Notamacropus eugenii: one gene and its partners. The protein of the gene in region 4 purifies or fractionates together with the protein of the main gene of each other region. This does not show direct contact. Links are inferred from orthologs where the notes say so. Each region holds a gene or a part of one and is shown on either strand. Other genes may lie near its edges. The genes, in order: EIF4G1, KPNA2, polyadenylate-binding protein 2 and NCBP1.

What was found.
Region 1: the proteins of NCBP1 (region 4) and EIF4G1 purify together in Homo sapiens (affinity purification with western blotting; 3 studies listed by BioGRID and IntAct, with this or other methods). This does not show direct contact. The link is inferred for Notamacropus eugenii from reciprocal best matches to the Homo sapiens genes NCBP1 and EIF4G1.
Region 2: the proteins of NCBP1 (region 4) and KPNA2 purify together in Homo sapiens (co-immunoprecipitation; 5 studies listed by BioGRID and IntAct, with this or other methods). This does not show direct contact. The link is inferred for Notamacropus eugenii from reciprocal best matches to the Homo sapiens genes NCBP1 and KPNA2.
Region 3: the proteins of NCBP1 (region 4) and polyadenylate-binding protein 2 purify together in Homo sapiens (co-immunoprecipitation; 3 studies listed by BioGRID and IntAct, with this or other methods). This does not show direct contact. The link is inferred for Notamacropus eugenii from reciprocal best matches to the Homo sapiens genes NCBP1 and PABPN1.

The regions. Positions count from the first base shown.
Region 1 is NC_092873.1:57,030,573-57,038,206, forward strand, and holds the start of EIF4G1 (eukaryotic translation initiation factor 4 gamma 1), read right to left. Parts: upstream 3,199-7,634; 5' UTR 3,072-3,198; intron 1,450-3,071; 5' UTR 1,392-1,449; intron 1,233-1,391; 5' UTR 1,199-1,232; coding exon 1,139-1,198; intron 875-1,138; coding exon 788-874; intron 469-787; exon of another isoform or gene 331-468; coding exon of another isoform or gene 298-330; intron 1-297. Other genes in the region: PSMD2 (26S proteasome non-ATPase regulatory subunit 2), read right to left, coding at 5,310-5,492, 5,606-5,724, 6,229-6,355, 6,492-6,586, 6,713-6,881.
Region 2 is NC_092873.1:327,758,507-327,765,975, forward strand, and holds the start of KPNA2 (importin subunit alpha-1), read right to left. Parts: upstream 3,348-7,469; 5' UTR 3,245-3,347; coding exon 3,078-3,244; intron 3,076-3,077; exon of another isoform or gene 2,758-3,075; intron 2,409-2,757; exon of another isoform or gene 2,094-2,408; intron 1,312-2,093; coding exon 1,200-1,311; intron 1,028-1,199; coding exon 890-1,027; intron 1-889.
Region 3 is NC_092878.1:9,833,211-9,840,710, forward strand, and holds the start of polyadenylate-binding protein 2, read right to left. Parts: upstream 3,108-7,500; 5' UTR 2,953-3,107; coding exon 2,602-2,952; intron 2,484-2,601; exon of another isoform or gene 2,357-2,483; intron 2,267-2,356; coding exon 2,152-2,266; intron 1,971-2,151; coding exon 1,903-1,970; intron 1,774-1,902; coding exon 1,667-1,773; intron 1,511-1,666; coding exon 1,423-1,510; intron 1,341-1,422; coding exon 1,189-1,340; intron 443-1,188; coding exon 403-442; 3' UTR 1-402.
Region 4 is NC_092874.1:314,403,618-314,411,237, reverse strand, and holds the start of NCBP1 (nuclear cap-binding protein subunit 1), read left to right. Parts: upstream 1-4,426; 5' UTR 4,427-4,579; coding exon 4,580-4,613; intron 4,614-7,620. Other genes in the region: TSTD2 (thiosulfate sulfurtransferase/rhodanese-like domain-containing protein 2), read right to left, coding at 3,536-3,550. UniProt on the Homo sapiens protein: Component of the cap-binding complex (CBC), which binds cotranscriptionally to the 5'-cap of pre-mRNAs and is involved in various processes such as pre-mRNA splicing, translation regulation, nonsense-mediated mRNA decay, RNA-mediated gene silencing (RNAi) by microRNAs (miRNAs) and mRNA export.

The DNA of each region.
Region 1 (7,634 bases), on a different chromosome or scaffold from region 4:
CCCTGACCCTTCCAGGCAACAAATAGACCAGCATGCACTGCTCTGCCTCCCTGCCCCACCCCCCAGACACTAGGGAGGTGGCTTTTCACATGCAGGGCTCTTTCCCTTCCCACGACCAGAGGCTCGGTAAAGCTAAGCCCTCTCAACATGCACTACAGCAGCCCCCCTGCCACCCTAGGGCTCCATCTTGGGTGGACAGGAGGCTATCTCCCCATCATCCCCCAGGACCCTGTCCCTGCTGCCCCGCCCGTGACTGGGAGACCAGGCTATGGTCCAGGATCAGGCAAGAGGCATTACCTGCAGAGACCTGAATCCTCCCTGAGAGCACATGGGGACAGGAAAGAAGAGAATTATCCCCCAGGTGGCCAGGGATGGAGTGAGGAGAATAGGGAAAGAAGCATCCCTTCTTAGGAGGAAGGAAGCAGGGGAGAAAAAATGGGGCTCCTCTCCCCCATGGGCTAGAGTGGCCACAAGGGACAATGACCAGAGCTACTGCGACCACCAGGAGAAGAGAGGAGACAGAAAAGATGTAAGCTCCATTAGGGCCACCCCAGGTGCACTGCTCCCAGCTCTGTGGGGCTCCCCGTTAGGGGTACCCCCATAACCTAGGCGTGTCTCCTGTGGGCACTCATTATCAAATAATGCACTGAAAAAGAATAAGGGGACACAGGAGAACAAGGATTGGAAGAGATCAGAGGCAGGTGCGAGGAGCCAGGCCCTGACCACTCAACTCTCCTGGTCCTTCCCCAGCCCCCCAAGTCCCAGCTGCCTCCCCACAGACCCTCACCTGGCGGGGCTGAGAAGGCGTGTTCATTTGGGTCGCTGGTGGCGGGTTAAACACCACCGGTGCCGTCTGCCCCGGGGGAAATGCCGGCTATAGAGGGGGAGACCAGAATTCAGCAAGAAGAGAAACTAAGGGGGAATGGAAACCACTGGGGGGAGAACAAAGTGGCTCAAGACAAGACAGCTAACAGAGCTGGGGCTGGCAAGTTCAGTTCCCCCAGAACCAGGAGGCCATGGGCCCCCCCACCAAGACTCCCACTTTGCCTCCCATCTAGGGGCTGGGGAATCCAACTGGAACTTGTTCTCCCCCCCAGCTCAGTTCTGGGCCCAGCCTTTCTCTACAGTCCCCCATTACCTGGGGGAGTCCAGGGGATGGGGCAGGTGGGGGGCCTGTGGGCTGTGGAGCTTTGTTCATTTCATTTGGTGCCACATCAGGGTCCCCCCAGCACCTGTGAAGAGAGGGGGGCGTGTGTTCAAAGAGGCACCAGGGAGGGGATCTAAGGCCTTGAAGCTCAGTCCCTAATAATTAAAGCTAGGGTCTCCCACCTTTGCAGGTTTCCAGACCACAGACAGGAATCTGAGCCCAGCCCCAACTGCCCCTCACTCACCCCCTCGGGAAACAACAAATCCACGCTGTGGCCTACAGGCTCTGGGCATCCGAGGGGCCTAGGATTAGAAGGGGAGGGGGAATCAACCTGGCTCCAGAAGCCTAAGACCAACCGGACCAGAAATTCAAGGTCTCCCTGGCACCATGCTCCAAGAACAAAAAAGGAAGGAACCCCCCCCCCCCCCCCTCCAGGGGATGGTAAGAGACACACCAGAAGATAAATGATTTTTGCCTAAGAAAGCACGTGAAGGACAAAGTGCCAGAGGAAGCCTCGGGGAAGCCAGCTGGGGCCCAGCTGGGCCAAAGTGAGGGTCTGAATTCAGTGGGTGGGTGGGTGTCCTGGACACAGGAGTTCAAAAGAGGTGGTGGTGGTGGTGGGGGGGGGTTTATCAGGAAGAGGTCCAGAACCAGAACTGACACTGGTTCCTACAATGGAGAAGAGAGGGAGAGAGTTTGAAGGGAAGGTCAGGAGGCCTGCCTGGGGTTCCTGAGAGAAGCCCTGAGGACATACTAGTCCTAGGAAAAGGGGAAGAGCAAAGAGACTGGGGGGATAGGGAAAAGGAGAGAGAGGTCAGGCACAGTGGCAGTGGCTGGCACACAGTAGGGGCTAAATAGGAAATTCCTGCTCTTACAAAGGGAGGGGGTGAACGCCCAGCATACTTTAGGGACCAAAAAAGCAGTGCTTGATCTTACATAGCAGAGAACACAGGGGAGGACCCCAGTGCCTGGCACACAGTAGGTGCTAAACAGGAAAAGACTTGCTCTTACGGAGCAGAGGCCAGCAGAGAAATGGGGCTGCATGGCCTGGCACACAGCAGTGACAGATAAGAAGGCTTCTTACAGAGCAGACAGGAGGGAGGGGAAGAGGGTCCCCAAATGCCTGGCACGCGGTGCTTGATCTTACAGAGTAAAGAAGAGAGGCTAGGGCCCAACGCCTGGCACGCAGTAGGTGCTGAACAGCAAAGATTTCTTTACAGAACAAGAGGAAAGAAGGGGCCTTAGTGCCTGGCACACAGGGAGGCTGAGCAGGCAGTGCTTGATCTCACAGAGCCAAGAACACGGAGGGGGGACCCCAATGCCCGCACACAGTAGGTGCAGAACAGGCAACGCTTGCCGGGGGGGCGCGCGGCCCGCACACAGTAGGTGCTGGGCTTCCTCTGGTCGAGCACAGGCTGGAGGAGGGGGCGGCCGGGCCCGCACCCGGGAGAGGCAGAGGAGGGGAGCGGAGAAGGGAGCGGGTCGACCAGCCGGGCCGGGGTCGAGCAAGGCCTAGGCCTGGGCCTGGGCCTGGGCCTGGGGCCGGCCCGGGCTCCTCCCTCCCGAGGCGGCGGCGCCAGAGAACAACGTGTCACTTCCCGCCCCGCCGCCCGCTCGGCCCCGGCCCTGGCCCCGACCCCGACCCCGCGCTCCGCAGGCTCGGCCCCGGCCCCCGGCCCGGCCCCGCGCTCGACCCGGCCGGCGGCCGGCACACGTGGGCTGGCAGGGGGCCGGGCGGGCGGCGGGCCGAGTTGGGCTGAGCGCGAGGCCGGGACCGGCCGGCCCGGAGGGAGGGCGGGCGGCGGGGCGGGGCCGGGCCGCGCTGGGCCCGGCGGCAGCGGGGCCGAGCGGGCGGCCCCGGGCCGGATGGCGGCGGATGCCGGGGGGAGGGGGCCCGGCTCGGGCCCGGACATGGCGCCGTTACCTTCAGTCTCCTTCAGTCCGCGCGGCCGAGCCCCACGCAGCCGCACAGGCGCCGTCCACGACCATTTCCGGCTCCCGCACACCGCTCCGGCTCCGCCGCCGCCTCTTCCCCGAGGCGCAGGCGCAGGCGCAGGCGCAGGCGCGGCCCGGCCTGCCACGTGACTGCCGCGGCGCAGGGGGCTGGGTGGCACCGGCCGGGGCTGGGAGGTGGCCCGCCTGCGGCGTGTGTCGTCATCGCCGTCACGCCGGCGTCCCCCCGCTGCCGCTACGCAGAGTCTTCCCCGCCCCCAGCCGCGGGGGCCCTCGTCGATCACGTGGAGCCCGCCGGGAGGCCAGAAGTTCCACTCTGGCTCAACCGCATTCCTCTGTCGGGGGGGGCCTTCGGAGCCCCTGGGGGCCGCCGCGGACCAGACCCTGCCCTCAGGAGCCACTCCGGGCTGTCGTGCCCCCTCCGCCGGAGGAGGTTGGCGCAGGCTCCCCCAGGGCCCCCAGGTCACGAGGTCCGGGAGCGCCGCATGGATGGAGTGTCCGCGTCCGCGTCCCATCTCCACGTGTGGGCTGAGCGCGGACCGGAGGAGCTGGAGGAACTGCCCCAGCCCGTGCCCACCCAGCGTGATGCCCCCCAGCGGGCCTTGTCCCGTCCCCTCCGTGGCAGAAGGTAAATGGGCTTCTGACCACGAAAATCCCTGGCACCGGCAGGTGGCCAAGCACCCAAAGCTGATGGGATTTTATCAGCGGAAGTGACACGAAAGAACAGGCGCGAGGCCCAGTGAGTCCTGGGGACCGCACCCCCTTTCCTTCCGAAGGACAGCGAGCCCAACGACGTGCTAGCACTGAGACAGCCCCGAGGAAACGCGGGACGCACGATTGGTTCTGGTGGGCCTCGGTGGGGCGCCGAACTTGGCTGTATCACGGTGATGCCATTTGGGCCTCTCCCACGAGTACCCACCAGCTGCCCGTAGGAGGCTGCTGAAGGTCTTTTGGATTGAAAGTTGCGGGGAACTTTTAAGGTCCGAGGAGAGCAGATAATAGCGGAGCATAAGAGAAGGGGTCAGGGAAGGGCAGGGGCAGCCAGGTGGGCTGGCGTTAGGAGGACAGACAGGTACTAGCTGTGTGACCTCGCCCTGTTTGCCTCAGATTCCCAACCCCAGAGGCTTACTCTCCCGGAGGTGGCAGAGGTCAGTAGAGTTGGACTGTAGGGAAAGTCAAGGCTAGGCTGTCCAACAGTGACCAGTAGAAATGGAGACAGGACCAAGAAGCCCAGTTTGCTGCTGGCCCGGTCTCATTCTCTTTAATGTTCTCATCACTTGACCTACACAAAAACACAGCAGGGAACCACAGAGTCAGCAGAAAGGGCCCGGAGGTGGGGGACCATGGATATAGGAGGTAGCCTATCGTGTCCAGCACAAATCCATGTGTTGGCTGATTTTGCTGAGCTCGCACTTAATCTGCTACAGGGCAAGGCTGCCTTGCACCACGGGGAGCAAGAGCAAAAGAGCATCCAGAAAACTTTTCTTAGCTTTATGAAAACGTGAAATTACAGTAAGAAAGTCTCCGCAGCCCATCTGTGCTGATACCCTTGTGAAAGCACACACACAGGCCTAACTCCTAAATACCCAGTGGGCTTTCTTATTCTCCACCACACTAAGAAATGTGGTTATCTAGTTTTTAATTCCACTGCAAATCAATTAGGGAGAACAGCTCCAACAGAGCTACCCACAGATTGACATCCTGAGTGGCGGAACCTCACTGGGATGTAGCCTCCATTTCCATCCCAAGTGGTGAAAATAGATTTCCTGCTCCCCTGAGAGCTTGCGTACAGAAGCTGTAGAAAACACACACACGAACGAAAGTAAGCTCTTTGGAAGGTAGGTAGGAACGATTTCATTTTCCTTTGTATGACCAGTGCCTGCCACACAGTAATGAATTTAATGAATGCTTAGTGACTGATGAGCTAAAGAAATAAACTTTCAATTGTTGAAAAACTTGGTGATCCAGAACATTCCTTCCAGCCTGTGCCCAGGTACCCTCATCCCCAGCTAGCACACCCCAGGAAAAAAGACATTAATGAAACAGAGGGCACAAGGGTCTTTAATTCAACATAGTCATCTCATTCTGTAACAAAAAAAAACAGGAGGGAAACAGCTTCCCCCCAAGGGCTGTTGGAGAGCCACCTCTGGAATAAGGAGTATTGCCTAGTCCCCAGACTCAAGTTAAAATTTAGGGCCCCCAGGGCCACTCAGACATCATAGTTGGGGTTCTTCCTCAAGATTACGAAGCCCTCCAGGATGGGAGTGACAGGCAAAAACTCCTCAGTGGCTAGCTCAGCCCGTTCCCCATGAGCCAGCAACACTGGAGTTGTGTGTGTCTGGAATCCGGTGATGGTCTTGGGCTTCCCAGCCTGGCCCACCACATCGACTGCCTAAAGGATAAAAAATGGAGAAAGAGTCTTAGAGCAGTGAATCCAGTAGCCCTCCTGCCCTGCAGAGGTCCAGAGGAATGGCTGCCGTGTTCCAGCCCCTGAAGATCTCTCACCTGGCCCACACGGACAGATACTGGCAACGGCCGGAGCTCCTCATCAAAGGTGACCAGCATTCGGGGCTGCATGGCAGCCACCAACCCATAGAGCACATAGTGGGACTTGCCCAGAATGACTAAGAATGAAATAGAGAGGGGCAGGTGACCAGCTTTCCTCCATCCACTCCTAAGCTGCCTCAGTGGCTCTAGCTCAGCACCCCCAGCTTTCCCCAACCCACCTCCTCCGTCTCGACGCTCCTCACTCCCCAAACTGCCTTATGCTCCCCAGGGCTGTCATTCTTTCATTCTGCCCACACTCTGCTTGCTCCCCTAACCCTGAGGTCACTCTGCCTGACTCTTGAAAGGTGGGGAAAAGTTACCTAAAACACCAAATACAATGGAATTAATGGCCAGTCCCTCACCCCAGAAGCCAGCCAGTCCCACTGTAGCCCAGCTAAAGGGAGTCAGGCCTGGGCATAAAACAGTACAAGAGTAGCCCAAGAAAAGCACAGCTACGCCCCAAGACCCACCCAATGGTCAGAACCTGAACATCCAGGTATCTCCAAAGGAGCCCTAACATCTTGGGAGAGTTGCCCTGACGCTGAGTCAGCCCTTCTAGGACTTTTCCAAGGGGCACTCACTGTTGCGGACATCGAGGAAGGAGACGAGCACGGTGAGCAGCCCAGCCACAGCAACCTGACTCATAAGCTGCCGATCACTGTGGTAGGGGCAGAGAGTGAGGGTGCCCTTCCCCAAATGTGTCAAGCCCTGTTTAGGATACAGGGAGGGTCAGGACTCCAGCAAGACCAGCCAGCCAGAAAGCCTGATGGTCTAGGCCCAACATGTATACAACCCACCCTGCCCCCACACCTCCAGGTCTCTTAGAGAAGAGCACCCCCCTCACCTGGGCCAAGCGGACCATGAAGAGGTTGTTTGGGTCCTTGGCATGGTACTGGGCTAGCTGGCGCAGCATGGCAGCCAGACGAGCATTGTTGGTACCTGAGAAGATGAAGCAGCAGAGAGGGACTCCTGGGGGCAGGGATGCTACACAGAGTTAGTCATTCCCCAAACCTGGCCCAGATGCCCCCTTGTGCCCAATACCTGCCTTTCTCTGCTGATACTCACCACTGCCCACCATGCCCATGGCAAATATGGAGTTATAGGATACCTCCGGGTCAGCATCATGGGAGAATTTGCTTAAGGTGTCCAAGATGTTGAGCCTTGGGTTGGAGACTGAGATCAAGGCCAATGCCAGAGGTACTGCCCGGCGCAGCGTGGGCTCCCCATACCTAAGCTGTATGGTAGAGGATATAAAAAAAAGTCAGAGGGAGCTCGAAGAGAGAGCTCCCATCCCAGCACCCACAGGCTCTGATCCAAATGTGTGAGGGCCCCTGGGGGCCAACAGGGTAAAGTCAGAAGAGAGGGGCTTGAGCCCTGGCTTTGCCATTTCTTGTCTCTGAGCCTGGGGGGTAATCATTCACCCAAGACAGTAAGTTCCATCTTCTGTAAAATAAGGGAACTGCAATGACTGATAGACTGTGATACATGAATGGAATGGATGTGAGTGAGATGAAGAACTCAAGGAAAAGGGGGAAGAGACAAATAATTTAAAGAGGATCTGAGAGCCCCTGCAAACCCAAACCCTTGACAAAAGCCCTGCTGAGCACAGTATGTAAATAAGAGCAAAACCTGAAAAGCAACTGGGAGAGGAAGAGGTCAAGGGGAAATGAGGAACAAGGCAGTCTGCACTGGGAAACAACCCTGTGGGCTCCGATCCCCAAGCCAACCAAAGAGGTCTGGGGCTTCGCTATAGCCTTTCGCTCTGTTCCAGAATGTGCACGTGAATAGGTATTTGCACCTCACTAAACTAACAAGATTTTGTTATAAATCTAAAAGCACGGGTCTGATCCAGGCTCCTTAGGCTTTTCCCAGTTCCCATCCCTTTTCACCATTGCTGTGTGGCCCAAGGGCGCGCACAGGGCAGAGTGTACACACTTGCGTTCACAATGAAGGCCTCAGTGAGACTGAGACGATGCAACATGGACAA
Region 2 (7,469 bases), on a different chromosome or scaffold from region 4:
TATCTATGTATTCTTTTAAGCCACAGCTTGCTAAGATTTCAATCAAGTTCCACAATTATGTTGGTCTGTTCCCATTTTTTGAGATACCACTTTCTAGTTTCCTCAGTATTGCTAAGTAATTTCCCCCCAGGGTTTTGTGATCATCAATACAAATACTATACAGTTGCAGGCATCTGGTTCTAGCGCATTGTTTAAAATTTATTCCATGGTGCTTGTCTTAATCAGAATAAAACACGCACAAAAAAGAAGATATACATTATCAGGGGTCATCAGAATATGGAACAGTTACCATGAACTCAGAGGAAATTATGACCACCATTTAAAAAATTTATGGATGGCATGAAGAAACAGGATACGGGACAGGTAATAAGAATTATTTTGGTCTGAAAAATCTTACATGCCCAAAGTTTGTACCCCGCCCCAAGAAGGGCAATGGAAATATTAGAGTAATATGATTTTTCAAAGTATCTTACAGATCTGTTTGACAACATTCTACTAGAGGTAGAGAGTAGTTAAGTGGCTATAATCTCCCAACTCCTGCCCACCCTACCCAAAAGAAAATAGGGCAAAAAGTAGAGAGATGAAACACTTTCCCACAGATGTTGGGAAAGGGACTATCAAAAAAACAAACTAAAAAAACAAAGATGAGGTTAATACAGGGTGACAAAAGGATTACACTATCCCTCAACAGCCAGTTACTGAAACCATTTTCTGTCATATCAAGCCTGCTACTTCAAGAAGTAAGAATGTCTAGGTTTCAGGAACAATCATAGGCCAATTCATACAGGGTATAAGTCTTTTCTGAAGATTTACAGATTATATAAACAAACTCCAAAGAATAAACATCATATGTGCAAAATCTGCTGGAATTAAGAAACGGAGAATTTACCTGGTTATTTCGGTTTTCTTGCAGAGGAGAAGTAGCATCATCAGGAAAAGTGCTGACATTTCTTCTTTTCAGCATCTGGTCATCTTTTTTAGCTTTCCTCAGTTCTACGTTCACTTCAATACGCCGGCGCCTCATTTCCTTGAGGAAAATAAAATCAAAGTGTTTTTGGTTTTTTATCCACAATCATCTTCTGAATTATCTAAGACAAATTTAGGTTGCCTTTAAATTCATTTCAGCATCCAAGAACTCTCCTTTCTCCTCCACCCAAAAAAATTATCTAGAAAATAACAAGATTAAGGCTACTACTCACTGTGCTGTCTTTTCCTTTGTTCTTAAATCTATTAAGCCGGGCAGCTGGTGAATTAGCATTTTCATTGGTGGACATGGTTGTGTTCAACACTGGGAGAAAAGCAAAGAGGGAACTGAAACAAAAAAGAAATTTCGATGCCTTATAAGAAATCCAACAGGATTTTATTGTATTAAACAGTAATTATTACTTCAACCAAAGGAAAAAACCAGCACTAACATAGCAATATGTCAACTACCAAAGTATCATATTATATATTATAAATATTTCTACATGCTTGCTTCATTTTTCTACTTGTGGTTACCAGACAAAGAATGTACCATTCAATAGGAACCACAGCATAGCCAGCAAACTATATGCATTAAAACTATGAAGTACTCCAGTTCACAATAAATCTATATTAAGCACAGCTTAGCTCAATGCCTACCTGGTACACAGTAACCTCTTAATAAATGCTTGTTAACTGACAGCTAAGTGATAAGCTGCCAGCAATTAAACCCTAGCCAGTCTCTCCATTAAATGTCCCTTACACCAAAATATTATTCTATTTCATTTAAGTAGTCATAACAGTACAATTTTAGTAAATTTTTGGACGTTTCCCCAAACAAATGACATTTCAAATTTAATTTTTAAAACAATTCAAGAATTTAAAGTTGGCAAGCATCAATTTGCTCCTACCTAGCTATGACATGTCCTTTAGAGAAAGACAATATTTAAGGTTTAACATTAAGGGTCCTCTCGCAGCTTAATTGCAAACACAAAGGTGTAAGCAGTTACAATCAAGACCTTCCAGATGCGATCTATCAATTACTTCATGACGTTACTGATTAAGCACTCACTATGTGCCAGGCAGTACGCTAAGTGCTACGGATATTAAAAAGGCAAAAATACAATTTCGGTCCTCAAGGAGTGCAGGTCTTAATGGGAAGACGACAACAACCAGCTGCCTGTTCAGCATCGATAATGATAGATCATTTTTTTAGATGGAAGGCAGGAAAAATCTCTTTAAGGTGGGATTGATTAGAAGCCGAGAAAACGAAGAGAGTGAGGGGCTCCTTTCCTGAGCTGGGGGCGAGGCCGGTATTTAGTAAGAGCCCACTAAATACAGCACGGATTACAGTCAGGGCCCAGGGTGGCGGGCCCAAGGTGTGGCTTAGTTGTCACTGAACCTCAGGAACCAACACAGACTTCACGCCCTGGGCAGGCCGCAAGGTTAGTACTTCCGACCCTTCCCTAAACCAGACGCTGGGTGGGAGAAAGAGAATATTCAGGAGCCCTCCCCTCCCCCACCTTCCCTCCGCACCCCGCTCCCAGAGACCAGCTGGGCCCTAAGCGCTGTCGTCGGAGAAGCTCGGGGGAGGCGACACCGCTAGACACAAAGGCCTGGGCATCCCGGTTGTCGGGGGAGGGGGAGGGGGAGGGCGGCGGGCGGCGGCCCATCTAGCAGATAGGCCCGGAGATCCGAGGAAAAGAACACGTCACGCTTGGGCCGAGGGTCGTGGGAAGCCCACTCCTCTGCAGCGTGCCCCCCTTCCCCAAATAAACTCGGCTACACACGCACGCGCGCTCTCGCACACTCTCACTCCGCAGCCCAGGCGGGGGGAGCGGTTGAAGTAACAGAGGCCGATCTCGGACCTCCGCTGCCACCGGCCGCCCTCGGCAGAGTGACCCAGAGGAGCCGGGTTCGGGAACGCTGCCGCTGCCACCGCGGGGACGCGCCCGAGCGCGGCCCGAGGCCCAGGGCCCCAACCAGGCCCTCCCCCACGAGGCCTGGAGAGCAACAGGCGATTCTCCCACACCCCTCCCTCCCGACAGCCTCGGAGTCAACCGTTTCCGGCCGGCCTAGTCTCCGCTCTCGACGGGCGAGAGAAAAGAACTCACGTTGTAGGAGGTCGCCGGGCCCCGTAGGGGAAGCGAGAGGAGGTCGCAGCTGCGTCACGGTTAGACTTCCAGCAACCACCGCAGCTCAGCCCCGAAAGCCGTGTGGCGCGTGAGGCCCTCCGGCGCGATTTAAATTTCCCGGCGGTCCGGAGCTCCCATTGGCTCATTCGAGCCCAAGCAACGCGACCATTGGTGGATTTGAAAAACACGAGGCTGGGTGGTCCCAAGATGGAGCCTGCAGAGGGAGTAGTCGAGCGAGAGGGCGGGGGAGTGGAGAAGGGAAGAGTTCTCGTGAGATGAGGGGAGAGCAAAACCTGCGTATACATCCCAGAAGTCTTTGCAGCCATGCTTTGGTAGAGGGATGTTTTAATGTCTCCAAGTGCTGGGATGGCGGAGGGCCTTCATTCTTAATCAGTGAGATCTGTGCACACTCTTCGATTTTGGGGAGCTCTGCGATTTATCGTCAAGTCCATGGCAAAGATTAAGTTGTCGCTGTGTGCCCGGACCAGTGCTAAACGTGCAAAAAATATTTTAAAATAGTTTCTATGGGCAGCTTGGACAAATGATTGTTTTCCACGTGCTTGCTTCAGGGAGGTCTCGTCTCTTAGATTGTAGGAGATTTCGAATTTTTTCGTTTTAGAAAATCTTCAATTTGTATTTTTTGGGGGGCAGCTACAATAGATGCTGTGTTGTAGGAGGCCTCTAACTTTTTGATCTGAAGGACCTTAATTTCCCAAGGACCCCCAAAACTTTTTGCTGTAATATTTATGGATATTTATTGTATTAGAAATTAAATTTTTAAGTGTTTAGTTCATTTGGAAATGTGAACATTAAGAATTTTTTATATGAAAAATAACTTTTCCCATACATTTTCTGAGAAGACGGGCCGTTCTACATAATGTTGCAAATCTCTTTAATGTCTGGCTTAATTGAAGACAGCTGGATTCTCATATCTGCTTTTGTCTTCAGATTGTTGCATTATATTGATTTGTTTGAAGTTCATACTACATAAATATGTAGTTGGAAAAGGGAGGGGCATTTTAATAGCCAAATAAATGTTTTAGTATTATTATTATTAGTAGTATAGTAGTATTAGTATTATTATGAAAACAGTTTTGACTTTAAGGGACTCTTTAAGGAACTTGGACTCAAAGACCACACTTTGAAAAGTGCTGTTGCCTGATCTTCCAAAGCCAAAACGGAATGAGGCAATTAACTTTCAAATAAAAATCTTTCATTTGAGATTGTAAAGAAAATCCCGACAGTCATAGGTATTGCCACAGTAACTAGGACGTTGTCCAACAGAGAGGTGACTTGAATATCTCTGCGGCATTTAACACTCACCCTCTCCTGGATAGTGACTCCACTATGGCATTTTCCTGGTATTACTCTCTCTCTCCCACCTCAGTACAAAGCCTCCAGAGGTCATCTAGTCCAAAACAATTCTTAGTTCTTAATTTTGATAGTGGATAGGGAACCTGCCTAGAAGCCAGGAAGACCTACCGGCTGTGTGACAAGTAAACCTCTCAGTGCTCTAAGTACCTTTAAGGCTCTAACTTGTTATATTGGTCGGCCTTTCCTCACCCAGGAGTTGGCTACATTAATGTGCCTATATAGCACAAATTAAATCCAAACCAAATGCTATTAATATGACTGTAGTGGAACTCAATTACAATTTTAACTCATTGTTTCTTAATTTTTGAACCAATAAAGGTGTTGAAATTACCACTAAGAGACCACAAGTTCTCACACAGCTGTTATAAAAGTAAAGGGGAAAGCCTTGGATCTTAAGTCAAGCTCTGCCATTTGCCACCTCTGAAAACTTGAAAATGTCACAACTATTTTCAAATTTCATTGAATCATTTGGATTTTTACCAAATCATTGTTGCCAAACCATTTTGGAGCATACTTATACCCAAGATTTTAGACCTATTGCATAAAGAAGGGCAAAGAAACAAGCATTTATTAAGTGCTGGGCTACTTTGTAAGTGCTCTAAAAATATCTCATTTGATGCTCACGATAACTGTGCAAGGTAGGTGCTATTATCCCCATTTTATAGTTGAGGAAAATGAGGCAGATGATATTGGATAGTTTTACAGTCTTTTGATTTTAAATTCTAGTATTTATTTGTTATCTCATGGAGTCACCGGTGTCTATGATCAAATCTAATTTTCAAGGATTCTGTTACTGAGTAAGATTTTATACTTCTTGTATTAAACTGTTCTACTAAGTTCTTTTCTCTAGAGTTCCCATTCCTTTTCCTATTCTTAACTCTAAAGCTCTTATTTATATGATCATTTTTAAACTTTTGCTTTAGAATCACTGTTTGACAAAAACTGCTAGTAAAACTAGCTAGCAATATACAGACAATGGGGTATAGAAATCTATCTTGCACTATACAATAAAGTAGAAGGGGATGGGGGCTGTTTTAGAAGGGAGGGCAGAGTAGGGGAAGGGATAATCAGAATGCACACCATCTTGGGGTGGCGGGAAAGGGAGGGAACTCAAAATCTTATGGAAGTGAATGTTAAAACTAAAAAATAATTAAAAAACCAAAACTAGATAGCAGTATGATGGAAATTAGGTTTGGATCAGTACCACATACCATATGCCAAGATAACACTCCAAATGATGATTACATGATCTAAATGTAACATTTGGTCAAATCATGAATTAGAGAAGAAAGAAATTACCTTTCAGATCTATGCAGAGTGGAAGAGTTCATGACTAAACAAGCAATAGAAAAGATCACACAAGATAAAATGGACAGTTTTGGTGCAAACAAAATTAATATAGTTAAAATTACAAGAGAAATGTGATTGAGAAAGAAACTTTGCAGCATATTTCTCTGATAAAAGTCTCAAATCCTAGCTAGATGAGGAATTTATACAAATCTATAAAACTAAGAGCCATGTCTCAAGAAAAATGGTCAAAAGATGAATAGGCAATTTTAAAAGAAAGAAATCCAAGGTACCAACAACCATATGAAAAAATGCTCTATATCACTAAAATTATAGAAATGCTAATTTAAGAAACTGAGGTTTCACTTCATACCCAGTAGACTGGCAAAGATGAGAAAAAAGGAAAATGACAAATGGAGGCTTCCAGAAAAATAGGCATACTAATGCTCGTAGATGTGTGAACTAGTCCAGCCATTCTAGAAAGCAATTTGGAACTATGCCCCAAAAGTTATTAACTGTGTATACCCCTTGACCCAGCTATACCACTACTAGGCCAATACCTCAAAGAGGAAAAGAACCTATATGTACAAAAATATTTATAGGAGCTCTTTTCAAAGTAGTGGTTCCTATTGGAAACTTAGGGGCTGTCTTGTTGGGGAATGGGTAAACAAACTGTGATATAGGAAGGTAGTAGAAGATTACTATGCCATAATAAATAATAAAAGAAAATTTCAAGGAAACTAGGGAGACCTCTATGAAGTAATACAAAGTGGGCAGACCTAAGAGAATGATTTATATGACAGAAATATTGTAGAGAAAAACAACTTTGAAAGACCTTAGAATTCTAATTGACGCAAAAATAAACCTGGAGTCCAGTCAATTAATGATAAAAGGATACAACAGAGTGGTTATGAACTTAAAATGCACAGGAAAACATACATTTTGGGGGCATGGTCAATGTGGGAATTTGTTTTGCTGAATTGTTAATTCTTATTATTAGGGTTTTTGTTTGTTTAATGAAAGGTAGTGATCATTAGTGAGAAGGATAGATTATAAATCCGTGTAAAAATGATTTGGAGAGAAAGTTCTTGGTTCATTTATTTCAGAAATTCCAGAAGAGCACGTGGCAAATCTTTGATTTGCTTTGAAGTCTTTGCATGTAGACCATGTGGAATTATTCATTTTGGGGTTTATATCTTAAACATCTCCTGGCTCCATCATAATTTTCTATCAGTATTTATTCATTTTTCCAGTCTTATTTCCTAAATTGTGACTTAGTGCAAGGGTCAAGTTCTGCAAACTCCCATATACTTAGATGTCATGTTCTGGCTCTGTTTGGTCCTAGCTGTTTTCTTTGGTTTCTTCTGCTGACTTCTACTTTTATCTGTTCTCAGAGTACCAGTAGGATTCAATGGTCTCAGAACTCTGGTTGGCTGCCCCTCCTCAGGCCACTGGGTGATTTTGTCTCCCTTAAGAATCCCATGATCAAGGTTCTTGGTTATCTCTGTCCCGATACTTGACACCTTGCTTCATTTTTCCTGTACTCTGCCACCCAAGATGTACCTCTATCACTTTCTCCATTTCTTCTGGTAATATGATGTGTAGTCTTGAATGCAACACAGATGACAATTAGATGACTTCTGTTCTTAACTAAGGGGTAACTGAATATTTCTGAAAAAAAAATCCAAATTTAAAACCAATGAAATCCAT
Region 3 (7,500 bases), on a different chromosome or scaffold from region 4:
TCCCACCATCCTGCCCCCACCCCTGAGCAGCCCCAGTGGGTGAAGTGAGGAGAGGAGGCAGGGGGGAGAGGGGTAGGGAACAGCTTTCGAAGTCGAGACTTGTCCATGTCGAACCCCCAGAATGAATGAGCAGCCCCCTGTCCCATTCCCCGGGGGTTGGGGGGGGCCCTTGCCCTGACCAGACCCTCAGAAGCAGGTCCCTCCTCAGCAGTTAGTTATGGGATTCTCCCCCCTTCCACAGTATATCTTTTTTTTTAAAAATATTTTTTTTCCATCAAGGTCATCTTCTGTTTTTCTTTTTTTTAATTCCTTTTTCCTTCTTTCCTTTTTTTCCTCTCTCTCCTCCTAATACACACTTTTTTGTTTTTTTGGTTTGGTTTTTTTTTTGTTTTTTTGTGTTTTTTAGTAAGGGGAATACCATGACGTCGCTCTAGCCCGGCCCCTAGAAAAAAGAAGGAGAGTTGGGTGTAAACATGGTTAAGGGACACCTCAGCACAGCCCCCTCCCCTGGTCCTCCTGGTCCAACTCCAGCTCCCTCTCAGGGGAAAGGCTTCAGGTCCCACCAGAGGGCACATGCCAGCGGAGGGGAAGCTGCCCAGAGCACGGCCCAGTAAGGAGCGAGAACAAGACTGAGGACAGGCTCAGGTTCCAAACACTCTCCCCAAAAGCGCTCCTGCTGCCCTGGCAGGGGATTTCCCCATCACCCCCCAGCCCCTTCCCCAACTCTCCAGGCACCAGGAACAGCAGCTCTTCTGAGCTCCTAGGGGCTCACTAGGATGCTTAACTTCCCCTAGACACGTCAGGGAGACTAAAGTAAAGGAGCTGACCTAGGATCTCAAGGCAACAAGCATCCAGACACTAAGGGAACGAGCACCCCTAAAACCCTGACAAAAGCTGGCCACCCTAACTCCAGCACCCTCAGCAGGGCTGGGCAGATCCACTCGGACTGACACTGCCCAATGCCTTCCCACCACCTGAGGGAAACAAAGTCCATCCCGCCCCTCCCCCTTCCCAGAAGGGGCACTAAGACCCGGTTCGACCCAGGCCTCCCCTGAAGCCCTCCTACTAACAAGCCTAGGAGGGACGCCTCCCCCCGCCACTGCCCCCCAGCCCAGGCTGGCAGCTCCTCTAGGGAGGAGGGCACGAGGCCCAGAGGGAAGGAGGCGGGAGCAGCCCATCTATCCTGACCTGTAGACTCGGCCCCGGGGTCTGCTGTTGAAGCCACTATAGAATCGAGAGCGTGAACTGCTGTAGTTGGTAGCCCTGGCACGATAGCGGGCACGAGGAAAGCCCCGATCCGTGGTGCTGATTCCCGGTCGATTGGTCCGTTTGGGGATCACCTGAGCCAACGCAAAGGCCAAGGCAGGTTAGGGGCAGCCCTCGGTCCTGGAGACCTCCCGAACCGGGGCAGGAAGCGCTCACTTTGATCTGTCTTCCTCGGAAGAGAGAGTCGTCCAAGGCCATCGACGTCCTCACTGAATCTTTATCTGAAAATTCTATATAAGCGAAGCTGGAGGGGAGACACGGAGGCGGGCGTTCAGCGTGCCCTCACCCCCAAGGCTGGCGCGTCAGCTCCCCGCAGGGGGCCCCTGCCACCCTAAGCACAGAGGGCAGGACGCTCCCTGTCGGCGCTGCCCAGGGCGCACCGCGGGGACCCCCCACTCACCCCTTGGGGTGGCCGCTGAACTTGTCACAAAGGATGGTGACTCGGTTAACGGAACCACAGCCATGGAAATGGGCCTCCAGCTCTTCCGCTGTCGCGCCGTAGTCCACCTGGGCACACAGAGCCCCACTTCACCCACAGGCCGGGCCCCAGCCCTGGCACGGGGGGCGGAGGCCCCCGGTGCCACCCCCCCGCCGGGCCCCGCCCCCTCCCCGAAGCCCCGCAGCGCGGCCACTCACGTTGCCCACGTAGATGGAGCGGGCGTCGGCCTCCATCTTCTCCTCGATGGACATGATCACTGGGCCGGCTACAAAACACGAGCGATGCCCGGCTCCCAGCGGCCCCCAGCCCCTCCAGCGCCCCCCCCGGGCATTAAAGGCCCTCCCCAGGCCCGTGGAGTGCGGGCGAGGGCGCAAGGTCACGGGCGGCGGCCCCGCCCCTCCCCCTCCCCGCCCCCCCCCCCCCCCCCCCCCCCCCCCCCCGCTCACCATTGCCTGGGGGGGGGCTCATGTTCATCTGCTTCTCCACCTCGTTCTGAAGCTCCTTCAGCTTCTCCGCCTCTTCCTCCATCTCCCTTACTCGGGCTTTGATGGCCTCCAGCTCCTGGGGAGGGCGGGGTGGGAGAGCGGGCTCAGCCGAGCCGGGAGGGGACGGCCCCCGCCCCACCCCGCCTCGGCCCGGCCCGGGCCCCACCGCGTCCGGCTCCGGCTCCGGCTCCGGCCTGGGCCCCAGCCTCGGCCTCCCGCCCGCCGCCGCCGCCGCCGCCAGCCAGCCAGCACTCCGAGTCCGTCCCGTCCCGCCCAGCTCCGCGTAATTCCCCGCCCACGACCCGCCCGCCCCCTCCCCCGCCGGCCTCCGCCACGGCGGCCCCTCGCCTGCCCCGGGCCGCAGGCCCTTCCCCCATGACCCCGACCTCCCGCCCGAGCCCCCGTCCTCACCGGGTCCTCGATAGCGCCGTCCCCCGGGTCGCCCTCCACCAGGCCCGGCTCTTCTTCCTCCTCCTGACTGCCGGGGGCTCCTGCGCCGGGCCCAGGGCCGGAGGCTCCCGGGGGGGCGCGGGGCCGGGGCGGCTCCTCCTCGGGCTCGGGCTCGGGCTCTGGCTCTAGCAGCAATTCTTCAGGCTCCAGCTCCTCCGCCTCCAGCCCGTTCCCGTAGTCCCCCGCGCCGCCCGGGGCCCCCTCCCCGGGTTCCCCCCCGGCCCCGGGCACAAGATGGCGCCGCCGCCCCGGCCCGGAGCCTCGACCGCCCGCAGCCCCCGCTGCTGCTGCCGCCGCCGCCGCCGCCGCCATAGCCGCTCAGACTGGGGCCCGCCGCCCGGCGATTGGAGAGCCGCGCCGGCCACGCTGGGGGCTCATTAGTCAAGCAGCCTGCCCGTCACCGGGCGCTCGGAGTCCATTGGGTAGAAATACTTGGCAGTCAAACAAGACCACGCCTCTAAGGCGGGGCAGCTAGCCAAATCCTCGAATCTCAGTAGGGGAACGTGCCTGTCAGTCAACGTCGGTCCCGCCTCCCCCCGTCATTAGGTCACAATCCTGCCACGCTGTGACGCCATCCCCAACGGTCTCCCTATGGGCCGCGCCCCTCCGCGCTCATCTCGCCGTGCCGTGCGATTGGCCGCTAACCACGAAAGGCGGAACGGAACCTCACGCAGCCCGCCCGCAAGCCTAGCCGAAGCTCGGCTGCCCATTGGCCCCAGGGCTTCGAAGGGCTCCGACCTAGGTTACAACACGTGACCGCTCCAGCCAAACGGACCGTCCCACTCAGAGCACGGGACCCCGGGTCATATGATCGAATGTGAGGGCGCCGCCATCTTGCTTCCCTCAGTCAGTCTGAGGGCAAGCGAACCCTGAGAAGGGCAGCGCGGCGAGGCCAGGCCCGAGCCCCCGAGCGCCGCCTCGGCAGCGCCCGCCCCGCCCCGGCCTCCGCCAGCCTCCCCCGGACACAACAGCGCCGCCTGGCCTGCCACCACTGCCACCACGAGAAGGCCTCGAGAGGCCCCCTGGCGTGCGGCAGGCACGCGGCCCGTTCCCTGCCCAAGTCCGCCCTCTTCGCAGTACGGAGCCGGCACGCAGACCTGGCAGAGCTAAACCCGAGCGTTCTCAGAGGCGTGCCCACTGGGCCTAGGGCTTCACCTCAGCACGGCCTACAATGCCTTCATCCTGCAGAGCCCTGGCAGGGCGGCCTGGTGGCACTGAGCTGAGCCGGGTGGCACTGAGCTGGGCCCGGTGGCACTGAGCTGGGCCCGGTGGCACTGAGCTGAGCCGGGTGGCACTGAGCTGGGCCCGGTGGCACTGAGCTGAGCCGGGTGGCACTGAGCTGGGCCCGGTGGCACTGAGCTGAGCCGGGTGGCACTGAGCTGAGCCGGGTGGCACTGAGCTGAGCCGGGTGGCACTGAGCTGGGCCCGGTGGCACTGAGCTGAGCCGGGTGGCACTGAGCTGGGCCCGGTGGCACTGAGCTGAGCCGGGTGGCACTGAGCTGGGCCCGGTGGCACTGAGCTGAGCCGGGTGGCACTGAGCTGAGCCGGGTGGCACTGAGCTGGGCCCGGTGGCACTGAGCTGGGCCCGGTGGCACAGAGCTGAACCGGGTGACACTGAGCTGAGCCGGGTGACACTGAGCTGAGCCGGGTGGCACTGAGCTGGGCCCGGTGGCACTGAGCTGGGCCCGGTGGCACAGAGCTGAACCGGGTGACACTGAGCTGAACCCGGTGGCACAGAGCTGAACCGGGTGGCACTGAGCTGGGCCCGGTGGCACAGAGCCGAGCCCGGTGGCACAGAGCCGAACCGGGTGACACTGAGCCGAGCCGGGTGGCACTGAGCCGAGCCAAGCTGGGTGGCACTGAGCTGGGCCCGGTGGCACTGAGCTGAGCCTGGTGGCACAGAGCTGAACCGGGTGACACTGAGCTGAGCCCGGTGGCACTGAGCCAAGCCAAGCTGGGTGGCACTGAGCCGAGCGGCACTGAGCTGGGCCCGGTGGCACTGAGCTGGGCCGGGTGGCACTGAGCTGGGCCCGGTGGCACTGAGCTGAGCCCGGTGGCACTGAGCTGGGCCCGGTGGCACTGAGCTGAGCCAGGCTTCCCAAACACTGTGACTAGAGCAGGGCTCTGGCAGGTCTAACCAAAGCAGGAGGCTTTCAGAATGGGTCTGACAACCAGACAGACCTCTAGCCAAGAGGCTCCTCACCAGAAGGCTGACCACCCAGTGAACTTTCTTTGGCCCTGCCTACACTCATGAAGACCTACTAAGATGATATGGATGGTAAAGGAAGAGATTAGAAATAAAGTCCGTTAAATATCATACAAAGACAAAATTCATCAAGTTGAACAGCTTAGCACAACTGGCAAACGTTGATTGACTGAGCATGTACCTTAAAACCTAAGAATAAAACTGACCTTAGCTATAGGCTTGAGTAAGGATGCAAACCAGTCTAAACAAAGGAGTTCACAGTATAAAGCAAGCAGGGAAAGCAGAAATGCATTGATATTGAAACAGATCCTCTCTTAAGAGTATAATGAATTTGGAAAAGTTTTTACTCACACTCCGTATTAAAGAGTTTGTATCAGAGAGAAACACAATGGATGCACAGAATGTATGGTACTACAACCTCATTAGATACTACTTTTAGTGCAGTCAACACCATATGAAAAACCTCAAAAAGATAATCATGAAATTTTTACTTGCCTACTAGATTACAAGGTCCTTAAGTATAAGGGCTATTTTATTTCATATTTGTTTCCCCAACTTCTAGCATATTAATTAAGGACTTGGCTTAACAAATGTTTGTTGAAGTCAACAATTAATGGCGAGAAATAAACACTTTCTGGGGAAGTGAAGAGATCCTGAGATGGTAGAAAGGTGACAGTTGAACTACTGGAAATAGAGCTGGTCAGATGTACAGTGGGAGGTTGTTGTAAGCAACAGTTTGAACACTGGGAAGAGGCAAGAGGAGGCAGGTGGTCAAGAAGGAGTGAAGGAAAGATGCAGGAAGACTTGGCTGGAATCTGAAGTTTGGGGGAGTTGATGAGGGAGGCAAAAGAGGCAGTCGAGACAAATGAAAGGATTTCCTAACTATAATGAGGATGAATGTTCAGAGCTTCAGAGCGGGGGAGGGTAACACTATATTACATAAAAGACTGGAATATTGTTGTCTGAAGATTTTTGAAATTCGATTTTTGTCAGAAATGGTTTTGAAAAAGCCCCGTGTAGAAGCAGAGGAACAGACTATGTATAGTCTATGGCTTACATGTAGAATGACAAGGATCCATTGATTCTGGGAATTGGAGAAGGAACAAAACTCTATTTTTTTCATAACTGAATTTAATATAAAACAAGCAGCAGCATTTTTTTGTAATCCAGACTGTGATTTCGTTGGTAATGCAGATGGATAACTGTTCTGAAACCTATAGTCTCAAGAGTTTCCTGGGCCACTGAGAGGGTTAGCTGACTTCCCCAAAGCCACAAAGAGCATGCAACAAAAGCCAGACTTGGCTGCCTCAGTCAGCTGTTTGCTGTACCACTCTGACTCTCAACAGAACATTCAAGCAGAAATAATCCCCCAAACTGAAGTTTAAGGCCTGAGAATGATAGCTGGGGGTGAAGGGAGGTGGCAGGGAAGGAGAGGATGAGACAGAAAAGTATGCTTGGGAAAGGCCAGGACTTGCCCAGGCCCTTGTTGTCCAAGAAAGACTGGCTTAGGTCATATGGATGGAAGGAGAGGCCCTACTAGATTAATTCTTAATCAGAAACCCCGAAGCTTACTTGGAGCACTTCCCACATCCCTCTTGCCCTAATTCCTTCTCCTAACAAAATCACAAAAAGTTGTTTGGGAGTGAGGCCAGTACCCACCCACCCCATCCTTCCAGTTGTCAATGCAGAAGTCACAACCCTGTTCAGTCCTCATTAAACTTCTGGATTTTATTTCTTAATACGACCATTACATATTACACAAAAATAAAAGTCAAATGAACCCAGTATTTATAAATTATTAAATAAAAATACATGAATATATATTTATATTTATAGAGCTTTTTTCTTTTCTTCTAAACTAACCAAATCCGTTCTCGCATTGTTTTCTGACTTGAAAAAGAAAAATAATGTATGTCCTGGCAGAAGTGGGAAGTGGGAAAAGCACTCTCAGGACCTAGCTGCCCCACCTCCACTCCTCCCATGGCCTAAGCAAAGCCTCCCACCTGCCCCTTTGGGCTCTTGGGAGCAAGAAACACTCCCCTCAGCCTCTCCACCAAGTTTATCCTTTAGAAAATGGCAATTAAATGTGTTTCCCCCTACTTTTAATGAAATGGACTTAAAAACAGGGAGTCACACTCAGCCTGCTTGGCTAAGAGACAACCCCCAGGAACTGAACAGCCCCAAATAGAAAAGTCCCTGGTTTTCTGAAGGAAAGATCTTAGGGGATTCCACTGCCCCCAGAAGGAGTGTCTGGCCAAAACTGCCCACTGTGGTCCCATGCAGCCATGCTTCCAGAGACCAAGTCTGAGCATCCTCCCCTTTAAACCAATAACCCCTGCCTCCATCCAGAGGCAGGAGCCTTAGAGCAGTGCGTTTTTTGTCCTTCTGACCATGGGTCCTGGTGCCCCTGCTATTAAAGACCCCCAAGGGAGCTAACAGGGGCCACAGGTTAGGAGTCTGTGGTAGAGGGTGGGGGAAAGAGCTGCGTTGTAAGGGAAGAGGAGCACACGCTCCAGTTGTGAGCTGTTAGTTGGTCTGGGTTTGTCACTGTTAAGTCAGTGCTAACTGTCCTCTCCACGCTAACCAACTGTGACTGACTCAGTGCCTTCTGGCTCATGATACCATCTCACCCAGTACAGTCTCAGCAGAATGTC
Region 4 (7,620 bases):
TTTTCTTATGGTCCTTTCCCTCCCAATGAGTGTCGACCGCGTAATGCATTCTCCTCCCCATGCCCTCCCCTCCATCCTCCCCCCCACCCTGCTTGTGCCCCTGTCCCCCACTCTCCTGTATTATGAGATAGGTTTTCCTATCAAAATGAGTGTGCATTATATTCTTTCCTTTAGTGGAATGTGATGAGAGTAGACCTCATGTTTTTCTCTTGCCTCCCCTCTTTATCCCACCACTAATAAGTCTTTTGCTTGCTTGCCTCTTTTATGAGAGATAATTTGCCCCATATAACTTCTCCCTTTCTCCTCCCAATATTTCTCTCTCACTGCTTGATTTCATTTTTTTTTTTAATATATGATCCCATCCTCTTCAATTCACTCTGTGCACTCTGTCTCTATGTATGTGTGCGTGTGTGCATGTGTGTGTGTGTGTACTCCCACCCAGTGCCCAGATACTGAAATGTTTCAAGAGTTATAAATATTGTCTTTCCATGTAGGAATGTAAACAGTTCAACTTTAGTAAGTCCCTTATGATTTCTCTTTGCTGTTCGCCTTTTCATGGTTCTCTTCATTCTTGTGTTAGAAAGTCAAATTTTCTTTCCAGCTCTGGTCTTTTCATCAGGAAAATTTGAAAGTCTTCTATTTCATTGAAAGACCATTTTTTTCTCCTGAAGTATTATACTCAGTTTTGCTGGGTAGGTGATTCTTGGCTTCAGTCCTAGTTCCTTTGACTTCTGGAATATCCTATTCCATTCCCTTCTATCCCTCAATGTAGAGGGTGCCAGATCTTGTGCTATCCTGATTGTATTTCCACAATACTTGAATTGTTTCTTTCTAGCTGCTTGCAATATTTTCTCTTTCACCTGGGAATTCTGGAGTTTGGCCACAATGCTCCTAGGAGTTTCTCTTTTTGGATCTCTTTCATGCGGTGTTCTGCGGATTCCTTGAATATTTATTTTGCCTTCTGGTTCTAGAATCTCAGGGCAGTTTTCCTTGATAATTTCATGGAAGATGATGTCTAGGCTCTTCTTTTGATCATGGTTTTCAGGTAGTCCCAGAATTTTTACATTGTCTCTCCTGATTCTATTTTCCAGGTCAGTTGTTTTTCCAATAAGATATTTCACATTATCTTCCATTTTTCGAATCTGCGCGGTATGTTCTGAGATATCTGTCTTTCTCGAAAAGTCCTTAGCGTCCATCCGTACCATTCCAGTTTTGAAAGATCTATTTTCTTCAGTGAGCTTTTGAATCTCCTTTTCCATTTGGTTAATTCTGCTTTTGAAAGCATTCTTCTCCTCGTTGGCCCTTTGCACCTCCCTTGCCAGCTGAGTTAGGCTAGTTCTCAAGGTGCCAATTTCTTCAAGATTTTTTTGGTTCTCCTTTAGCAGGCAGCTGATCTGCTTTTCATGCTTCTCCCTCATCCCTCTCATTTCCCTTCCCAGTCTTTCCTCCACCTCTCTAACTTGATTTTCAAAATTCCTCTTGAGCTCTTCCATGGCCCGAGCCCATTGGGTGGGCTGGGACACAGAATCCTTGATTTCTGTGTCTTTGCCTGATGGCAAGCATTGTTCCTCCCCATCAGAAAGGAAGGGAGGAAGTGTCTTTTCTCTGATAAAGTACCCTTCAATAGTTTTATTTCTTTTCCCTTTTCTTGGCATTTTCTCCAACCAGTGGCCTGACCTCTGAATGTTCTCCTCACACCCACCTTGCCTCCTGGTCCTCCCAGCCAGCGTTTGGGGACTGAGATTCAAATGCTGCTTCCCGCCTTAGGATTTTTGGCGGGGGCAGGGCTGCTATTCAGTGTGAGAATTAAGTTCAGGTGGTCAGGGGCAGGGCCGCCTCTCAGGCATAGTTCCCTCTGGGGGTTTATGCACAGACCTTCCACAATGGATCCAGGCTCCTGCCCATTTGGGGAGCCCCCGTCCGCAGCTGCCTCTCAGCCCCCACCTCCCGGGGGGGGGGCCGAGCCTTGGGGGCACCCCACTCCCCTCTCAACCCGCCAACGAGACTCTCTCACCCACCCCCTTCAGTCACCTGTTGGTGGGGGGGGGCCCGTGCCGCCGCTGAAGATCCCGCCTCTGGAGCCCTCTCAGATCTGTGCGTCTTGGAGCCGTGGCCGCCGATGCCGCCGCCGCAGGTCCGGGCTGGGCTCTGCATCTGCAGTGCAACGGACCTTTTGCGAGAGGTTTGCAGGTCCCTCTGTGGGGACCCGCGTGGCCGCTGGAGATCCCATCCCCGTAGCCCTCTCGGATCTCCTCCCCTCAGTGTCGTGGCCGCGGCAGGGCCATACTCTGGTCCTCGTCCCAGAGCCCAGTCCGCGGCGTGAAGGACCCCCCCCGCGAGAGGTCCGCAGGTCTCTCCGGAGCAGGAATCTCCCTCGCTCCAATACTCTGTGGTCTCTGGGTGCAGAATTCGCCCTGGCTTGGTCCCCTCTAGCCATTCTGTGGTTTGTGTGTTCGGAGCTATGTGTATGTGCGTCTTTCTACTTCGCCATCTTGGCTCCGCCCCCTATATTATTTCTTTTACAGAAAAAAAAATCTACTTACATAAAGACACGTATTTATACACACACTGAAAGGAAGTTACTCCTCATCACTATCCTGTTTTGGAGAAGCGAGCACCTGGGCCTCAGGATGTCGATGAGCTTCTCAGGGCTTAGAATCATGCCCTCCTGTCAGCCTGTTCACACACTCTTATTCTATGGGCAGCACTGGGTTCAGCTAGGAGGCTAGGAAACCTCCCTAATTCATAGACTCCACCGCCTGTGGTTCCGTTGAATCGTTCACCACCAGCTCTTAGTCCATTCTTCGTTCTTCGCTCGGCTGACCCGGGCTAAAGCCAGATGGGTCACAGACTCTGGTGGGCGAGGGAAAGGGGAGAATCACGGACTCTAAAAGGGGGAAGGGTCCTCTACGCTAGCTGGCAAGTGAAAGGGTAACTTAACGAATCCAGAAGGAGAGCCAAGGCACAAAAACCACCTCTCCTCCAAGCCTGGCAGAGGCAGCGCAGGACCCTGGGCCTGAGGACCTCTGGCACAGCTGGCATGTACCACCTCCAGCTGGTGTTAGTTTGGCTTCTAGGCCAGTCCACCATCACAAGGGGGGGAGCGGACCGGACAGCTGCCTCTGTGGGTGCTGCCACCCTGCCTCTTCTGAAGACCCAGAAAAGAAGGTGCATGCCACCCACAGGCCTTGGCATCTTTACTTCAAACACAGAAGCTCGGTGACACAGGGGGGATGCAGGCCTTACACTGAAGCTGAAGTCTGACAGCAGGAAGGGCAGACAGACTGCCGGACACACAGGTCTGGAGGCCGTCACACCAAGAGGGCTGGCCACTCAGCAGGACAGCTCGGCCATGGCCCCCCGGGGCTTCTCCAGCGGGTGAGTGACCTGCTCTGGCCCGGCGCTCCAGCCTCTGAGCCACTACCTGCAGCCTTCCCCCCCTCCAGACTGCCAGAGAGTGCCAGCAGAGGGCCCTCGGGCTGCCAGTGTCTTCTCTTCACCCCGGTGTTCCAGGCTCACCGTCCTGTGCACACACCGTGTGACTTTCCATTCCTCTTTTGTTCACACTCGTTTTCAGTTCTTCAGAGTTGCCTCAGTTTCCCCCTCCGTAAAACAGAACTGAACAACCCCCACCTTAGAGAGGAAGGCCTTAACGAGGCCTGCCGGTCTCCAGGCCGGCCATCAACGTCAGTTATGGCTCTCAGGGGTAGGACTGCCGGCCCACCCCCCCGGGGGCCCCCGTGCCACGCGCACTGACCCGGGGGGAGGGGAGGGGTCCGAAGCGTCAACAGAACACCCGGGAGGTCGCAGGAAGTACCTACCTGGCCGGCTCCCGTCTTTGGGGGGCTTCCACCCGCGGGCCCGTCTATCCTAGCAACCACCGGAACACGCAGTCCCCCGAGAGCCCTTCGCGGGCACGTTTCTCCTCCCGACCGGTACTTTACAGACGGCCCCTCAGCCCAGACGTCGCCTACGTCCGGCAGGCGCAAGGGCAGTCGGGAGAACCATCGAGTGGCACAGAAGGCCCAGAGCGTCACCACCTCGGCTCCGCGCGGCCTAGCGTCTGGCCGAGACTCCTTCCTCCTCCCTTCCCCCCGCCCTTTCCCTAAGACGCGCGCCTGCCCAGCCGGGACCGACGCTCTAGGAACTGGCTCTCCCCGCTCCCTGTTCTCCCGGAAGAAGATTAAGCGCGAGGAGCGGGAGGAGGGGAGGGGAGAGAGAAGGCGGCGGAAGTTCGCTCCGCGGCCTTGTTGGGCCGCTCCCTTGGGCTCTCCCGCTTCAGGCTCCCTCACACGCGACGCCTCCCGCCCGGCCTCCCGAGACCCTGACGGGACGTCCTCGGGACGGTGGAGACGGGAGGTGCCCTCTTTCCCCTCCCCCAGCCTCCACGCCCGCCTCGCTCGCGCGAGCTCTAGCGTGCGTGTGCGTCAGCGCCGCAGGCCGGCCCGCAGCTCCCCGCGCCGCCTCGCCACCCCCTCCCCTCGCCGCTTCCGCCCTTTCCCGCTGCCGTGAAGCGAAAGGCGCGGGTTTCCCGCGATCTCCGGCGGCCGCGGAGGCGGAGGGGCGCGCGGCGGGCAGGATGTCGCGGCGGCGGCACAGCGACGAGAACGACGGTAAGTGAGCGGGCGGCGGCGGCCCGGGCCGGGCGGGCGGCCGGGAGGTCGGGCCGGGCGCGGGGCTGCGGAGCCGGCCCGCTCCCGGGATCCCGCTGCAGGCCTCTGGTCCGGGAGCCCCGGCTTCCAGCGCGGCCTCCGCCGCTCCCAGCCGTGACGTAGGGCCGCTGGGGCCTCAGTGTCCCCGTCTGTAAGTGGGCGTGATAACTTAGGATGTACTCAGCATTGTTGTGAAGATCAAGGGCGAATATACGTAAAGCCTTTGTAAGTAGTAAAGTCTTGTGCTAACGTTAGCCATTATTGATAAACGCAGATCTATCCGAGACCCCCCGGGGTTCACGCCCCGTCACCTCCCAGCACTGGCTGCCCGAGCCAGGACCTCGGTCCGCATCAGGAGATGGAGCAGGAGGGGCCTGTTTGACTTTCACCCACGTCTTGTTCTTATTTCGAGCATTAACCAAAAAATATGAAACTGGCATCACTCATTAGATGAAGGTTCTTCACCTTCTCGTGCGCGTCGTGGGCTCCTTCGGGGCCTGTGGACCTTTTTTCAGATAACGTCTTTGAGTGCATGAAGGAGGATTTCCGAGGAAACCAGTGATCTGAAAATGTGGTTATCGAAGGATTTAAAAGGACAACAGCATTACTGACTGGCTTTAAGAGCCCCTGCTGTGGACAGAGCTGTCTGTCTTCAGGGGCGTTCTCTTGTGGACACTTAGAAAGGATGGGCAACAGGTTCACCGTGTGACACCTATCATAGCTGCGCTCTTTAAACAGAATTCTGTAACTTTATTGGTAGTCTCTAGAGGGAAAGGACAAGACCCTGAGTGATTCTTCAGAGCAGGATTCCAAATTCATGTTCAGGGAAATACATATTATGGAGACTTGTTGAAGCTGCAGTAACATAACTAGGCAGGTATCAGAAGTTTCTCATAAAAATGTAAAAATCTCAGAAAATGTTCTATGTGACTGTAACAACAGTAATAGTATTAATCTAACAACTAAGATTTATTTTAAAATATGCATTTTGAAATGCAATATGATTCTGGAAGGGACTAGTGTTTTACATTTCATTTGTTTTGGTTCAGGTGAAAGAGCTAATAGCTTCGGATCCAGACAACCTGGGTTAAATCTGCTGCTTAATACCTTTGTCACATTTGGCAGTTCATCTTACTATGTAAAGTTAGGTGGCTGTGCCTGTGAATCTGAATATTTATTAAGGGTTGTTTCTTACCACACCTCCAGGATAAAGATCTGGTCTCAGAGTCTGGGAAGACCTGAGTTCAAATCCTGTGTGTGACTGGTATTGGTTTTGTGACTCTGGGTAAGTTGTGCCAGGCAACCTTCTAAGACTTTTAAAGTAGCTGAAATAATTACCTGTTAGTTTTGGTTCAAGGAGAGAATTTTTGCTATTGGAATCTCCCTGCAGGGATGAAATCTTAGATCTGGATTTGATTGGTGCTAACTGTTGTGCTAGATGCCTAGAAGTAGAAAGATGAAGTATGATCATCTGATCTCCAACAGTTTAAAATCTTTTTTGCCATACCTTTCCTCTGTAGTGCTCTGAAATAAATATGTGATTGTTCTCTTTATCAGAGAGGTTGACAATGAACTTAGGTAACATTTTTTATTCATTTGAACTAGAGATCTTGTCAGAATGAGCAAATTTAGAGGTGATCTGCAAATCTGTATTTTGCTAAAGTCCATCTCCTTGGATTTTCAAAAGTTGTGTCAGTGGATGCCAGGCTTTATCGTACCCTGTCAAACTGGAAAGATTTTGAATGTAGTCCCAGAGATGAGGACAAGCATAGGTAAATGAGGAGTCACTCAGGTTGAGCACTCCAATGATGATTTTTCTGGCTACAATTGATTGAAACTGTCTGCTAAGTATATTTATCCACTGAAGTATATTTCATGTCTTTTACAAGTAATTAAATACACTAAATATGTGGTTTTTAAAAAATATGTAACATGCACAGTAATTAAATTACATTGGCATAAGAGTAATCCCTATTTTTGTCTCTGGAGGGAACTTTAGTTTTTTACACCTTTTTCAAGTTGATACTTTTCACTACCACTTTTTTTTAAAAAAAGGAGATTCCCACAGAGATGTGAACATGAAAAAAATATGTCTTAAATGGAAATATACAACTATAAACCTATCATCACTTAACATAGCAAATATATATTGTAAATCATTCTCATTTTAATTTAAAAAAAACATTTCAAGTGCCTACTAAGTGTAGGAAACTGCCCTTAACTGGGGATACATGGTTGAAAAATGACATAGCCCCTGTCTTAAATGAACTTTTTCTGCTGGAGGAAAAGATATTGTTTATATAGATACAGATAATACAAGGTAGAGCATAATAGGAATAAAGGAAAGATGAATTCAAAATACTCTAGGAAAAATTGAGGAGGAACAGAACAGTTTCATCTGGGGGGATCAGGGAACTCTTCATGAAGAGGGTGATACCTCAGTTGATTCTTAAAGAGAGAGATTGTCCCACTTTTGCCTTTGCATGCACTGTGTCTCAGATAGATATAGATTGGGATTAAGGGACAGGCTGTCATAAGCAGAATGAAAAAAGTTCGGGAAATGTGGGGAGAGATGAATGACTGAAGTTCATAGAAAAAAACAGAAACATATTTAGAAAATACTTGGCTCATACTCCTAATTTCTGCCTAATTAATACTAAATAGATTTCATCCACCTTGAGTTAAATGTTTTTTGACTTTATAGCTTAACTTTATGAAGACTAGAGACTAGAGTCCATTCAGTTAGTGTGAGGGAGAGCATAATTTGAAAAAGATGATTAGTTTTGTTAAAGCCTTACACAATCAAAGGCATCTTTCTCTTCTCTTGAAACTTTTGTTTTCCAATTTTCTCATAAATTTTTATTTATATCTTAGTAAATCTTGACTCATGATGAAGTTTTTAAGAATCGTTGCAAGATGTATTTAGTAGGATTCTTCCATAGACAACCTTTACATTGTAACACTGTTT